3 linked regions of the Mus musculus genome follow. The protein of the gene in region 1 interacts with the protein of each later gene in a pairwise test. Links are inferred from orthologs where the notes say so. Each region holds a gene or a part of one and is shown on either strand. Other genes may lie near its edges.

Region 1 (3,475 bases):
TGTGCACAGCTGTGGCTGTAGTGTCTTGGGGTACGTGTGCACGTTTGGGGGTCCCCAGTCAGACACAGTGGCCCACACCTGTTATTCCTTCACTTGGGAGGCTGAGGCAGGAGGAGTGCCTCCAATACCAAGCCAGCCAGGACTACACAGCCAAATTCTATCTTCACAAAAAAAAAAAAAACCAACAGCAACAAAAAGCTGGCATCTACAGGTATGGTGGCCCCGAGAGTTCATGGCGAGCAGATCTGAAGCCTGCCTGGCCTACATACTGAGCTCCAGGCCATCCAGAGACCTTGTCTTAAAAGCTTCCCACCTTAGGGGGTACCCAGACAGATCTGGGTGAAAGGTGCCTGTCTGGTAGGTAGTAAGGGCCTTTCATGTGGGGCCCACTGTGTTGGGGTGAGAGCAAGTCTTAGAAGGGTCAGATCCAGAAAGCACCTGCAGATGTACAGAATCCGGAGCCCCCTCCCACTCAGCCCACACCCTGAATGATGGCCCCATGTGGTCCCCCAGGGCACATCCTCCTGGCATGTGTACCTTGGTTAACAGACCTGTTAGGGAGCCCTTACCCCACTCTCCAACAGATGAAACCACTTCAGTCCTCTGGTTTTTATTTGCCTAATCTCTCCCCACATAGGTACCAAGGAAGGGTGACTTCAGAGGGTACACAGGGTTAGACCAGAGGCAGGGCAGCAGGAATGCCAGGGCTGGACCACCTGCTCCTGAGGCAGGTGTGGAAGAAATCAGAAGGAACCAGGCAGCCTTCAGAGCCACCAGAATGGAGCGCTGTCCCCAGGGGACTGAGGATCTGTAATCTGGGTGTCCCTCGTGGCCCCACCACTTCCCATGCAGCTCCTGCCTCCTTGGCAGGAAGCTGAAGCAGGAAAGAGGCTTGGGTCATCTTTCCCTAGAGACCCGAGGCTAGGTTGGTGGTGTTCTTGAAGGGTGGCCTGGGTTGGGGGACTCATAAGGTGGCAGTTGTCCATGGCCCCTGGCAGGTGGGGCTGGTGTTGCCCTTGGTGCTCCTCAGCTGGGGCTGAGCGCCGGGCTGCCCTCAGGGCTGTCGCTCACCAGGCATTCGTTGGATTTGAAGCTTGCCAGGGACTTGCAGCTGGGGATGGAGGCCAGGGAGCCGCAGAGGCCCAGCATGGAGGGCGTGGGGTCCTTCCCTAGGGAGAGAGGGCGGGTAAGGCCGGGCCAACCAGCCTGTGTTGTATGTGGGGAGGAGGTCCTCGTGGGTGGGCAGAAGGGGGGCAGTTCTCCAGTCACCCCCAGGGGACGTGGCCTCTTCTGGAGCATCTGTCATTTTTAATTAAACCTTGATTGAACATTCCTTGCACAGGGCTTGAGACACTGTGTCATAAACCATCAGTTTATGTCTCTGTCTCCCCAAGGTTCAGCCTTTCTTTGTCCATTTATTAAGCACACAGTGAGCATTTGCTCTATTTCACACTCTGGGGATACAGAGAATGGACAAGACATGGTCCCTGCCCTCACGGAGCTCACAGTCTGGTGGGGAGACACACACAGTCACAAACACAGTGTGGTGAGTTACATGTCCAAAGCCTGCCTCGTCTCAAAGTCGAGTTATCCAATACAATATAATATATATCTATGTATTTAAAAAAAAAAAAGGCAGGAGGTCCAGGCATAGGGGAAGAAACTAGGAAGGGAGTAACCAAGGAGGGGTCAACACAAAATGCATGCGTTGAAGTCCTGGGCATTCGCTCAGAGGGAGCCACTAATTTGGTTCTGAGCTTCCTGGCAGCCAAAGAAAGGGGAAAACATTGGTCAGGCAAGCCGTTCACAGTGTGTGTGTGGGCAGAGCCAGCAACATGTGTCTAGTGTCATGACACTAGAAAGCCGTTGCGCCCTCTCCATACGTGCACTCTGGAGGCTCTTTACCAACATCCCTATTTTACAGATGGGAATCTGAGTCAGCCAAGTGCAGAGATTGACCTCGTTTACAGGTAGAAGAGGTGGGGCCCGAATTTGCACTTTTGTTTTGAAACCTCAAGCCAAGCTCCTTATTGGTGTATAAGTACAGGAAGAGTTGAGAGAATAAGGGGTTCAGCCACGGCCTGACTACAGGGGCCCTATCCCTTTTCTGAAGTGCCAAGGTGGGTGAGTGTGTGTGGGGTGTGCTCACCGATGGGGCCCCAGGGTTCCTCGTCCCTCTTGGCCTCTCCCAGGCGCTGGGAGTCTGAGCTCAGGCTGGCCTCTGCAGACAGCGGCTCCGTGCTCATGAAGCTGTGTCTACAGCAGAACAGAAAAGTGCAGGGAGTGACCCGCAGCTCCAGGCCCCACTTCCTGGGACTGGGGTATGGGGACAGCACTTGGTTGAGGCTTACCTCCGATATAGCTTGGAGTTGCTGGCACCCTCGGGCCTATGAAGTGTGCTCAGGGAGGGCCACTGGTTGACTAGGGATGTGGTGAGCTCCTTGGAACCCTGGGCCAGGGGGGCATGGTCACCGGGGATCAGACCTGTCCTGGGAGGGGGAGGGGGATCAGGCCTGGCTGGGAGAGGGAAGCGAGACTCAGCAAAGGTAGGGGCAGGGCTTAGGACGGAAACTTGAGTGGTAAAAATGGGGATCTGTGCTGCTCAGGGAGGATGGCCCAAGTCTGGAATTATGGCACTAGGATCTAAGGCCATGTTTGTGGTGGCCAGGATTAGTGCACTCATGATGGAGTTTTTAGAAGTCAGTTGGGGTGATGTAGGGAGGAGAATGGAAAGGGTGGGTACTCTTGAAGGGGTGGGATTCGTGTTAGCTAGCTGGGTCAGGTTCAGGGAGGAAATGTTCCAGATTGGGGGTGGGGGTGTGTGTGTGATGCCTATCAGAGGCCTTAATAATGGGGGTGGCACACGATAAAACTGAAGGCTGCTAAAGTCGTGTGAGGAATGGCTGGTGTCTCTAGCTGATGGGTATTGGAAGCTGCGGGGGATCTTAATGTGGGGGGCAGGTAATGTTTGGCAACCTCCACGGGATCTTGGGAAAGGGGATGGGATGGGTAGGCTGATGCGAATTGGGTGTCATCAGAAAAGCGATCCCAGCCAATGGAGTCATGTTGGGGTTCCCAGGGGTCAGGGCGGGAGGCGGGCTCACAGCTGCTCCTGCAGCTCCAGGATCACGCCTTCCAGCTCCCGCTTCTCACGCTGATTTTGTGCCGCGGCCTCCTCCAGCTGCAGCTGCAGCCGCCGGTTCTCCGCCTCCAAGTCCTTCAGCTGCGACTCGCGCAGCCGCACCAGCTCCTCCAGGTATCCCTGCGGGGCGCCGGCTCAGCCCGGACGCCCAAAGGGGTCCCAGCTGGAGTCCCAGCCCCAGGCCCTGCCCCCACCGCGCCCAGCTCCCCGCGCCTCGCCCCGCGCACCTTCTGTGCGTAGACAATGCGAAACTTCTGTTCCATCTTGTGCCACTTGTTGTACCAACTGTCTTCATCGGTGACGAGAGGCAGGTAGGGGTGCTCTGGTGAGTTG
Region 2 (4,091 bases), on another chromosome or scaffold:
CAGCCCACGATCCAGCCCGCATCCTCTGCCACCACTTCCATGCCCATCTCCAGGCAGAATGCCACGGAGGCGACGTTAGAACAGAACTCATCCCTCTTGTCTGCCAACGCAACCCGCTCCGGTGCCAGAACACCAGGGGGTCGGGCGCTCGAACCCTGCCCCTCCCAGTTCCCCAGCAGCCCTGCACTGTCTCCACAGTGCAGGTTTGATTGGCTCCGCCCAGCCCTCTGTCACTCCTCAGTTGGCCTACGATTGGGTACCAGGCCGTGCGCAAGCGCAAACTCTCAGCCCCTCCAGGCCCCGGAGGGGAGTTGGCTCAGTCTATCACTGGGTCTTACACCAATTGGTTAGCAAGATGAGACGCCTTTTCATTGGTCAAGAGTGGTAGTCTAGAGTCCGGACTCACAATCTGATTGGCTACAGTGAATCCGAGCTTCCGCGCAGACACCCCCGCAGGCTGTTGCTGAGATGTTCTGGGGTCTCCCGACAGTGGGGGGCGGATCCGAGCTCCAGGTTTTCCAGGCGCCCAAGGCTGTCTACCAGCCCGGGGGGAGGAGCTCGGCTTACGTCAAACTCGACAAGGGCGGGGCTAGAGGGCGGGCCGGTGACGTCATCGGGCGCGGACCGGGTTTGCGTGTAGCCTGGGCGCCACGGACTAGCCGAGCTTCGATTTGCTTGTGTAACTCATGGCGGCGGCCCTTAAGGCTCACGTCGTTACGTATAACGGGATCAAGCCAAAGCTCTCCGAAGGCTGACAGGCTGAGTCATGTATGTCAGCCATAGGCCGGCCCGTCCTGAGGTCCCCAAGCACGGTGCGCACGGCTTCCTAAGCCCACGGTCCCTCCACCGTCACCTCCCGCAAACCCCCGAGCGTGGGCGTCTGACGTTGCCTGCCTTCGGGCGGAGGAGAGCGCGCAGACGCAGTACGGAGGCCGGTCAGGCTGGGTGTTGCCGGGTGTCGCGGAAGCCGGTCTTCTCTGGAGCGCGCGGACGGTCGCTAGGCGACGGCGCGAGGGGCGGGCTTTCTTATAGACCCCTCCCACCCGGCTGGCTCCGCCCCGGGCAGCGCTGCGGCTGGGCTCGGGCGCGCGCTCCAGCGCTGGGGAAGCGGCGGCGGCGGCGGCAGCAGCGGCGGCGGGAGCTGGGCGTGGAGGCGCGAGGGGCGGGGCGGGCGGCATTGCGGGCCCGCGGTTCGGGCGGCTCCGGCTCGAGGTCGAGCTCTGTTGCTGCTCTCGCCCTCGGGGCTGCATCGTCCTCCCGCTTGGCCCGCTCACAGGGCCGCGCACGACTCGTTCAGCTGCAGCCCCGCTGCCGGCGCCCGGGGCGCTGCCGCGGCCGTGAGCCGACGAGTCCGTAAGGGCGGCGGGGCCGCGGGGTCGGGGCGCGGCGCGCGGGCGCAGGTCTATGTCGCGGGCGGCGGCGGCGGCGGCGGCCGCGCAGGGACGATGCGCGAGTACAAAGTGGTGGTGCTGGGCTCGGGCGGGGTAGGCAAATCCGCCCTGACCGTGCAGTTCGTGACCGGCACCTTCATTGAGAAATACGACCCCACCATCGAGGACTTCTACCGCAAGGAGATCGAGGTGGACTCCTCGCCTTCGGTGCTGGAGATCCTGGACACCGCGGGCACCGAGCAGTTCGCGTCCATGCGGGACCTGTACATCAAGAACGGCCAGGGCTTCATCCTGGTCTACAGCTTGGTCAACCAGCAGAGCTTCCAAGACATCAAGCCCATGCGGGACCAGATCATCCGCGTGAAGCGGTGAGCAGAGCGGGGCACACGGGGCTCGGTGGCTGCGGCGATCCCGGTCCTTGGCTTGCCCGGGCTACACCACCTCCTCCAGGGGCTCAGATTTGTGGGCTTTGTTTCACAAGTGAAATTGGGCATCCTGTTAACCCTCAGCCCAGCCCTTTGTCTCTAGGACGTTGGTAGCGCTTCTTCGGGACCCTAGAAAGAACAAAGTTTCAAACTTGCAAGGAAAGAAGGGATGAGTAGGTGGGCGCTAGGGAAAGGGGAGCTGTCTTAGTGTAGGCACGCCTGTGAAGAGTGAGCGCGCGCTTAAATGCACCCGTAAGAGGTTTGACAGCCGAAATTTGTACATACATATCTTGTGACAGTGTCAATACTAAGTTAGGGGGGACCTTTCTCGTTGCGGAAAAGATTAAATGTTGCCAGGAGGTTGGCAGAAATGGATTAGTGCAAAACTTTAAAGACACATTGGCAAATAATTTGAAGACCACACAACATTCAGTTGGCTTGGCATATAGAAGCACACTTGTGACATTTACGCGGAGAGCGTGCAGATTCAGTTCTCTTTCTCTCTTAAAAGCTAGCCTCCTCATCCCCCCCCCGCACCCCCCCCCCGAAAAAAAAAAGAACAGGGAAGGAGGCTATTCTTGGAAAACAAACAGAAGTTTAGTCTGAGTTCTGGCTTGTGTATCAGCTAATTTAAAGTTAATGCAAAAAAAAAAAAAAAAAGAAGAAGAAGAAGAAGAAGAAGAAGAAGCAAACAAGCTTTTTCCTGATATAAAGTGTTCAAAGGATGTATTTTTGCATGTGGCTGGTGACCTGAATGCTTTTAGTGTTTGTTCTCTCTTAAGTTGATGCTATGCATTTTCCCCTTAACCTTTTAAATACTGAAAGTCTAACATGTTACTACAGAGTTCTGGCATCATTTTCTAGTTCTTCTTTACTGATAACGCTCCTCTCTGGTCCTTATTAACTAATACTACTGACAGTCTTCCAGGATTATTTTACCTGTAGCTACATTTGAAGTCACCATTGAAGGTTTAGGTAGAAACAATCACACTTATCCATCATTTGGGGTTTATACACTTCAGAGCTCAGAGCAAGTTATTTGTATTCAGGGAGTACTTAAAAATTCCTTCCAAGTGGTGTTTTTTTTTTTTTTTTTTTTTTTTTTTAGTGGTGGGTTTTTAACCCTGTACAGAGGTCAAAGGAAATGCCCTCTCCTCAGTGCCTGCTCCAGCCAGACTAGAAATTTCTGTATTCCCGCATTAAATTCCAAATCACAAAGCAGTGGCTATGATTATGATCTTTTCCCAAAGTTGGTGACACTGGTAGCCTTAACTTCTCTAGTGTTATTTTTTAGAAATGTGTTTCCTTGTGTGGTACACACGTGTGGGTGTGTTAATACGTTTGTCTCGAAGTTGTTTACAGATCATGATGTAAGTGCTGCAGTTGTCCCACCTTCACACCCAGTGCATGCCCACACGTCTGTGCTAAGATCCCCAATGGCATGGGCCACATCATGTCGGAGTTTCTGTTGGCTTCGTGTAGCTCACGTTTCTCAGTTATAATGATGGGCCAGTTTATTTACTAGAGCAGTCCGTTGGCATCTCAACCCAGGACAACAGACTGAGATTGGGATTCTATTCACCCAGGGTCACTAGTTGCAGCTCTTGATGTAAGAAGAGCAGTGATGAGCTGAGTTGAGTTGAGCAACTTCCTGTGGGGTAAATGTTGTGTCATTAGAGCCTCTCTGGACCCACTTTCTTTTTTTCTTCTTTTCTTTTCTTTTCTTTTTTTTCTTTTTTTTTTTTTTTTTTTTTTTTTTTTGAGACAGGTTCTCTATGTTGGCCTGGCTGTCCTGGAACTCACCATTCATACCAGGCTGACCTCAAATCCATAGAGATTCTCCTGCCTCTGCCATGGGGCACTGAGATTAAAAGGTCCGTGTCCAGCTTGGGCCCCTACTTCTATGTCCTGGTTTTTGTACCTCACCCTAAGTTCATCATTTGCCTTCCAGGTCCGGGTGAGCTGTAGGTTATTCCCATTGTACAGCAGTGTATAAGGCAATACTCAAACCTGCTGTGGGGGCACGCAACTCCTCTCAAGAGAAAGCATGGGTTTACATTAGTGCATTTTCTACTCTTTGGGGGACCAGTTCCTTAACTACTCAGTTGCTATAGGAAGTATTCAGTAATTCCATCTTCTGCCCATTGTGTGCCAGCTGTCTGCTTTACATATGACATACAAGAGCTTTGGGGCGGTTAGTTACAGTGCCATAGTGCAGTTGGCATAACTGAAAGGCTATGGCTTGATAACTCACCAATTACTGATAAAGAGAATT
Region 3 (3,648 bases), on another chromosome or scaffold:
ATTTAATGTTTGGGGGCCCCTCCGAGTTAGGTTGTCAGTGAAGTTATGCTTCCAAAGCATGCCTCAGGGCACTGCATATTCCCACATGAAGAAGCCTAAGAAGGCCCTTTCCCTTTTGAGAACGTGAAAATCAGCATCTTGCCTTCCCCTCAGTGTTCCTGCTGTACTTGTCTCTTACGAGTTCATTAGGATCTTGAGTTAATGCAAAACTAACTTAGGAAAGTTAAGTTGGGCTATTTGGTAGCTTGATAGGGTTAGTAATTGCGTGCACTTTGTAAACTTTGTGACGGGCATCTTCTAAATTTGGTCTTAAGTCAGAGCTTAGGAAATGTGAAAGAAAATTCAAGTTTGTAGTAACCTTATATCAAAATTTGACATGTGCTATTTGTTTTATTCTACAAGTTATATTTCTGCTTAAGTATTAAGAGATTTAAAGTGACTTAGGATGATAACTTAGAAGATAGAGCTGCACATTTTGTGTTCTTCAGTGAATAAAGCATAATAACACTCACTTTTCCAATATTAAGGGATGGCAGGATGTTATTTGACTACCTGGCAGACAAACATGGGGTAAGTTGTTTTTGTTGTTGTTGTTGTTGTTGTTTTTAAACATTAAAAAATGGTTATGTTCTGAAAAGTTCATTAGAGACTAATGCTGTGCATAAATAGTTTGGCATAAGAATATAATTCTTAGATTAACTTAACTAAATACAACTGGTATGGTTTTAAATGTAGTTTTTTTGTTTTTTTTTTTTTAAACCTCAGCCGTGATATCTCATAATCCTCTTTTGATAGTAAATCCCCACAGTGCTTGTCAGTTTGTGAATCATATAACAGTAGCTCATGTTAGCGGCAACAGAAGACCAAAACCTAGAGAAGGTGGGGGAGGGGGGTTCCCTCTCTCTTTTTTTTTTTTCCTCCCTCTTCCTGAGCCTCCAGGACTCTGAGATTTTTGAGAACAGGATATTGCTTTGTAGGGCAAACTGTCTCCAAATTTGTGGTGCTCCTGCTGCCCGCTTTCTGGCTTTAGGGTTATATGCATGTTTCTAACTCACGATTTTTTTCCATGTGGGTCTACTTAAATAAGTGAAGGCGAACTAGAATTGAGTTAAATTTTTTCTTTTTACAGTAGAGAACATTTTGGCTACCTTAGGGAATGCAGTAGCCCTTGACATTTTCATAGCTTTCATTAATTTACAAATTTATAAGTAAATGTTACTTATTTTTTTGTACACATCTTTGATTTCTCTTTTGTTAGCATAGAGAATTTCACATTGTATATAATCAAACTTAACTTTTAAGTCTTAGCACCCACTTAATAATTATGTAGATGGCTTGCTGACCAGCACATAATACTCTGTGGTTTGCTACATAATATTTAGTAGTTTGTTGTTTGAAGTCTTAAGTTTTTTTTAGATTTCTTCAGTTTGATTTTATTTACATATTAATTCTCAAAGTTGATATAATTTTGAGGCTAATTTTCATAAAAGAGAGGTTTATTGTATGTGTTCTTTGTGTAAGACCACAAAAAACCTTGGAGGTGTATGTGTGCGTGGTAGTTGACTAGATTAGTCAACTTAGTAGACTTAGAGCAGACTTCAGTTACAGTCCAAGCTTGTTTGGTAGTCAAATTGCTATCAGCACACTTCAGAACTCTTGAGATCAAAACTAAGCATTAAATTGACAGTTCCACGTGTGTGTATGTGCACATACACAGTCATACATATATACAATCAAGTGTTATGGTATTATTGGTGATAATTGTTGGGAGACTTTAAAAGAATTGACTTGTTCACTCATCTAGAAGAGTTAAATGAACAGAATTATATAACTTAACTGTAGAAGGTTTTTTTTCCCTCCAGTTTAGGCAAGAGTACTTAGATACACTCTACAGATACGCAAAATTCCAGTATGAGTGTGGAAATTACTCTGGAGCTGCAGAGTATCTTTACTTCTTTAGAGTTTTGGTAAGTACCTGTTTGTTGTTTATTTATTTGGTTTCCTTTTCCTCTTACCTTCTACTTCCAGAACTTTGATTTGAGTCTGTCTATTAAATTTTACAACAGTCATTTGCAAAGGAGAAAAGTAATTTAGGTTAAAAAAAACTAGGGGCAGTGGCTTTGCAACAAAAGCCAAATAGGATACCTTGTTAAGGGCCTCAAAATGTATTGAGAGGGCTGTGAAGTGGAACAGAGTCACATACTCATACAGCACAAACCTGGCAACCAGTTTGATCCTCAGAAACCACTTCAGGGTGCAGAGAACCAACTCTACAAAGTTGTCCTCTGAGTTCCGCACTTAGGCTACGGCAGCCTGCATCCATGCACAAAAGTGTTTTTAAATACAACTTAAAAACAAATTTAGAAAGACTTTAATTTGACCTTGAAATCCAAAAATAGGAAGCTATTAATTTATAATTATATGAATTGTAGTATTAGCAGAATTCTGTCTTATAATGGATTTTTGTGGTGCCGTAAGCAGAATGAGTGACTATAGTTTAGTGCATGTTCCTAGTTCTGAACAACTGGAATCCTGTTTTAAGATGCTATATTTTAATACTGACCTAATTTATATTTACCCACATTCCCATTAATAGAAAGTGAGGAGAAGTGAGGTGTGGAGACACTCCAGCCGTGTTACTAACTGGCAGTGCAGGCTTTTGGGTCACTGTCTGGATTTGGTACTTTTACGGAGTGGAGAGAAAGGTGTATGAAGTCTGATTGAAACTCAGGCCTTCAACTTAACAACTTTTCTTGTTCTGTCTTCTTTCTAGGTAATTACAGTAGTAGGTACTTTCTAAAGTAATCAAAAGGCTCTTACCTAGCCTTTTATCTGAGAAGTTATAATTTATTACTCACTGGATTGATGAACAAGTTCGCAAAGCCAGTGGTTTGTCTACTTTATCCTAGAAGTTAAAGTCTGGTTAAGACAGGGACTTTCTGTCTTCCAATCTTACATTTCTTTATTTTCTGTTGCTTTTTTTCCTTTAGTTTTCTATGTCACAAAGAAAACCACTTGGACCATGTTGTTTTTGGTGCCTTCAGTGAAATCCAGCTTACCTGTTTGGGGTAGTTCAAAGGGCGGATCGATGTTACTCATCTCCTACACTAAAATTGCACAGGGAACTTTTTAATACTACCCACCATCCTTCCTTCAAGGAAACAGATGTTTTCTCTTTATTCCTAAGCTAGATTTAAAACATTATTTTTCTTTTCCCCTCATTTGCAATGAGTTTTTCACTTATGGATAAGCTGTGATTTGCTTGCCAGTGTACTGAAGGTAATCATTGATGTTAAACTTGGAGTGACTTATCAGAAAATTCCATCGCTTTTACCTTGGATGTTACCAGAGATTTAGGAGAGCAAAAGTTGATTACTTTGAGAATATAAACAGCTTAAGCTAGGATTGTAAAGCCAGAAGCCTGGTATGATTACAGGTACATGAAAAGAGCCGGTTATTCATATCATTTGTTACTGCTGGGAGTGAATTTTGAGAATGAAGATTTAGTGTCATGTTAGAGTCCCAGCACAGTAAATTTATTGTTGCTGGTCAGTGAGTGAACGTGCCATTTTCCTAAGACATGGAAACTTAAGGTAACTGCTGGAAATCCAGATATTGAAACTCTTCTAGTATATCCACGCTTGAAAG

What was found.
Region 2: the proteins of Rundc3a (region 1) and Rap2a interact in binary tests that used the Homo sapiens proteins (3 or more experiments, as listed by UniProt). The link is inferred for Mus musculus from reciprocal best matches to the Homo sapiens genes RUNDC3A and RAP2A.
Region 3: the proteins of Rundc3a (region 1) and Eif3e interact in binary tests that used the Homo sapiens proteins (3 or more experiments, as listed by UniProt). The two-hybrid records come from large-scale screens. The link is inferred for Mus musculus from reciprocal best matches to the Homo sapiens genes RUNDC3A and EIF3E.

Annotation. Positions count from the first base shown.
Region 1 is NC_000077.6:102,399,675-102,403,149, reverse strand, and holds the end of Rundc3a (RUN domain-containing protein 3A), read right to left. Parts: coding exon 3,370-3,475; intron 3,263-3,369; coding exon 3,105-3,262; intron 2,514-3,104; coding exon of another isoform or gene 2,490-2,513; coding exon 2,352-2,489; intron 2,257-2,351; coding exon 2,150-2,256; coding exon of another isoform or gene 2,097-2,149; exon of another isoform or gene 1,762-2,096; coding exon of another isoform or gene 1,742-1,761; exon of another isoform or gene 1,170-1,741; coding exon 1,027-1,169; 3' UTR 595-1,026; downstream 1-594. UniProt on the Homo sapiens protein: May act as an effector of RAP2A in neuronal cells.
Region 2 is NC_000080.6:120,477,282-120,481,372, forward strand, and holds the start of Rap2a (ras-related protein Rap-2a), read left to right. Parts: upstream 1-1,179; 5' UTR 1,180-1,445; coding exon 1,446-1,759; intron 1,760-4,091. UniProt on the Homo sapiens protein: Small GTP-binding protein which cycles between a GDP-bound inactive and a GTP-bound active form. In its active form interacts with and regulates several effectors including MAP4K4, MINK1 and TNIK.
Region 3 is NC_000081.6:43,269,198-43,272,845, reverse strand, and holds part of Eif3e (eukaryotic translation initiation factor 3 subunit E), read left to right. Parts: intron 1-527; coding exon 528-570; intron 571-1,862; coding exon 1,863-1,967; intron 1,968-3,648. UniProt on the Homo sapiens protein: Component of the eukaryotic translation initiation factor 3 (eIF-3) complex, which is required for several steps in the initiation of protein synthesis.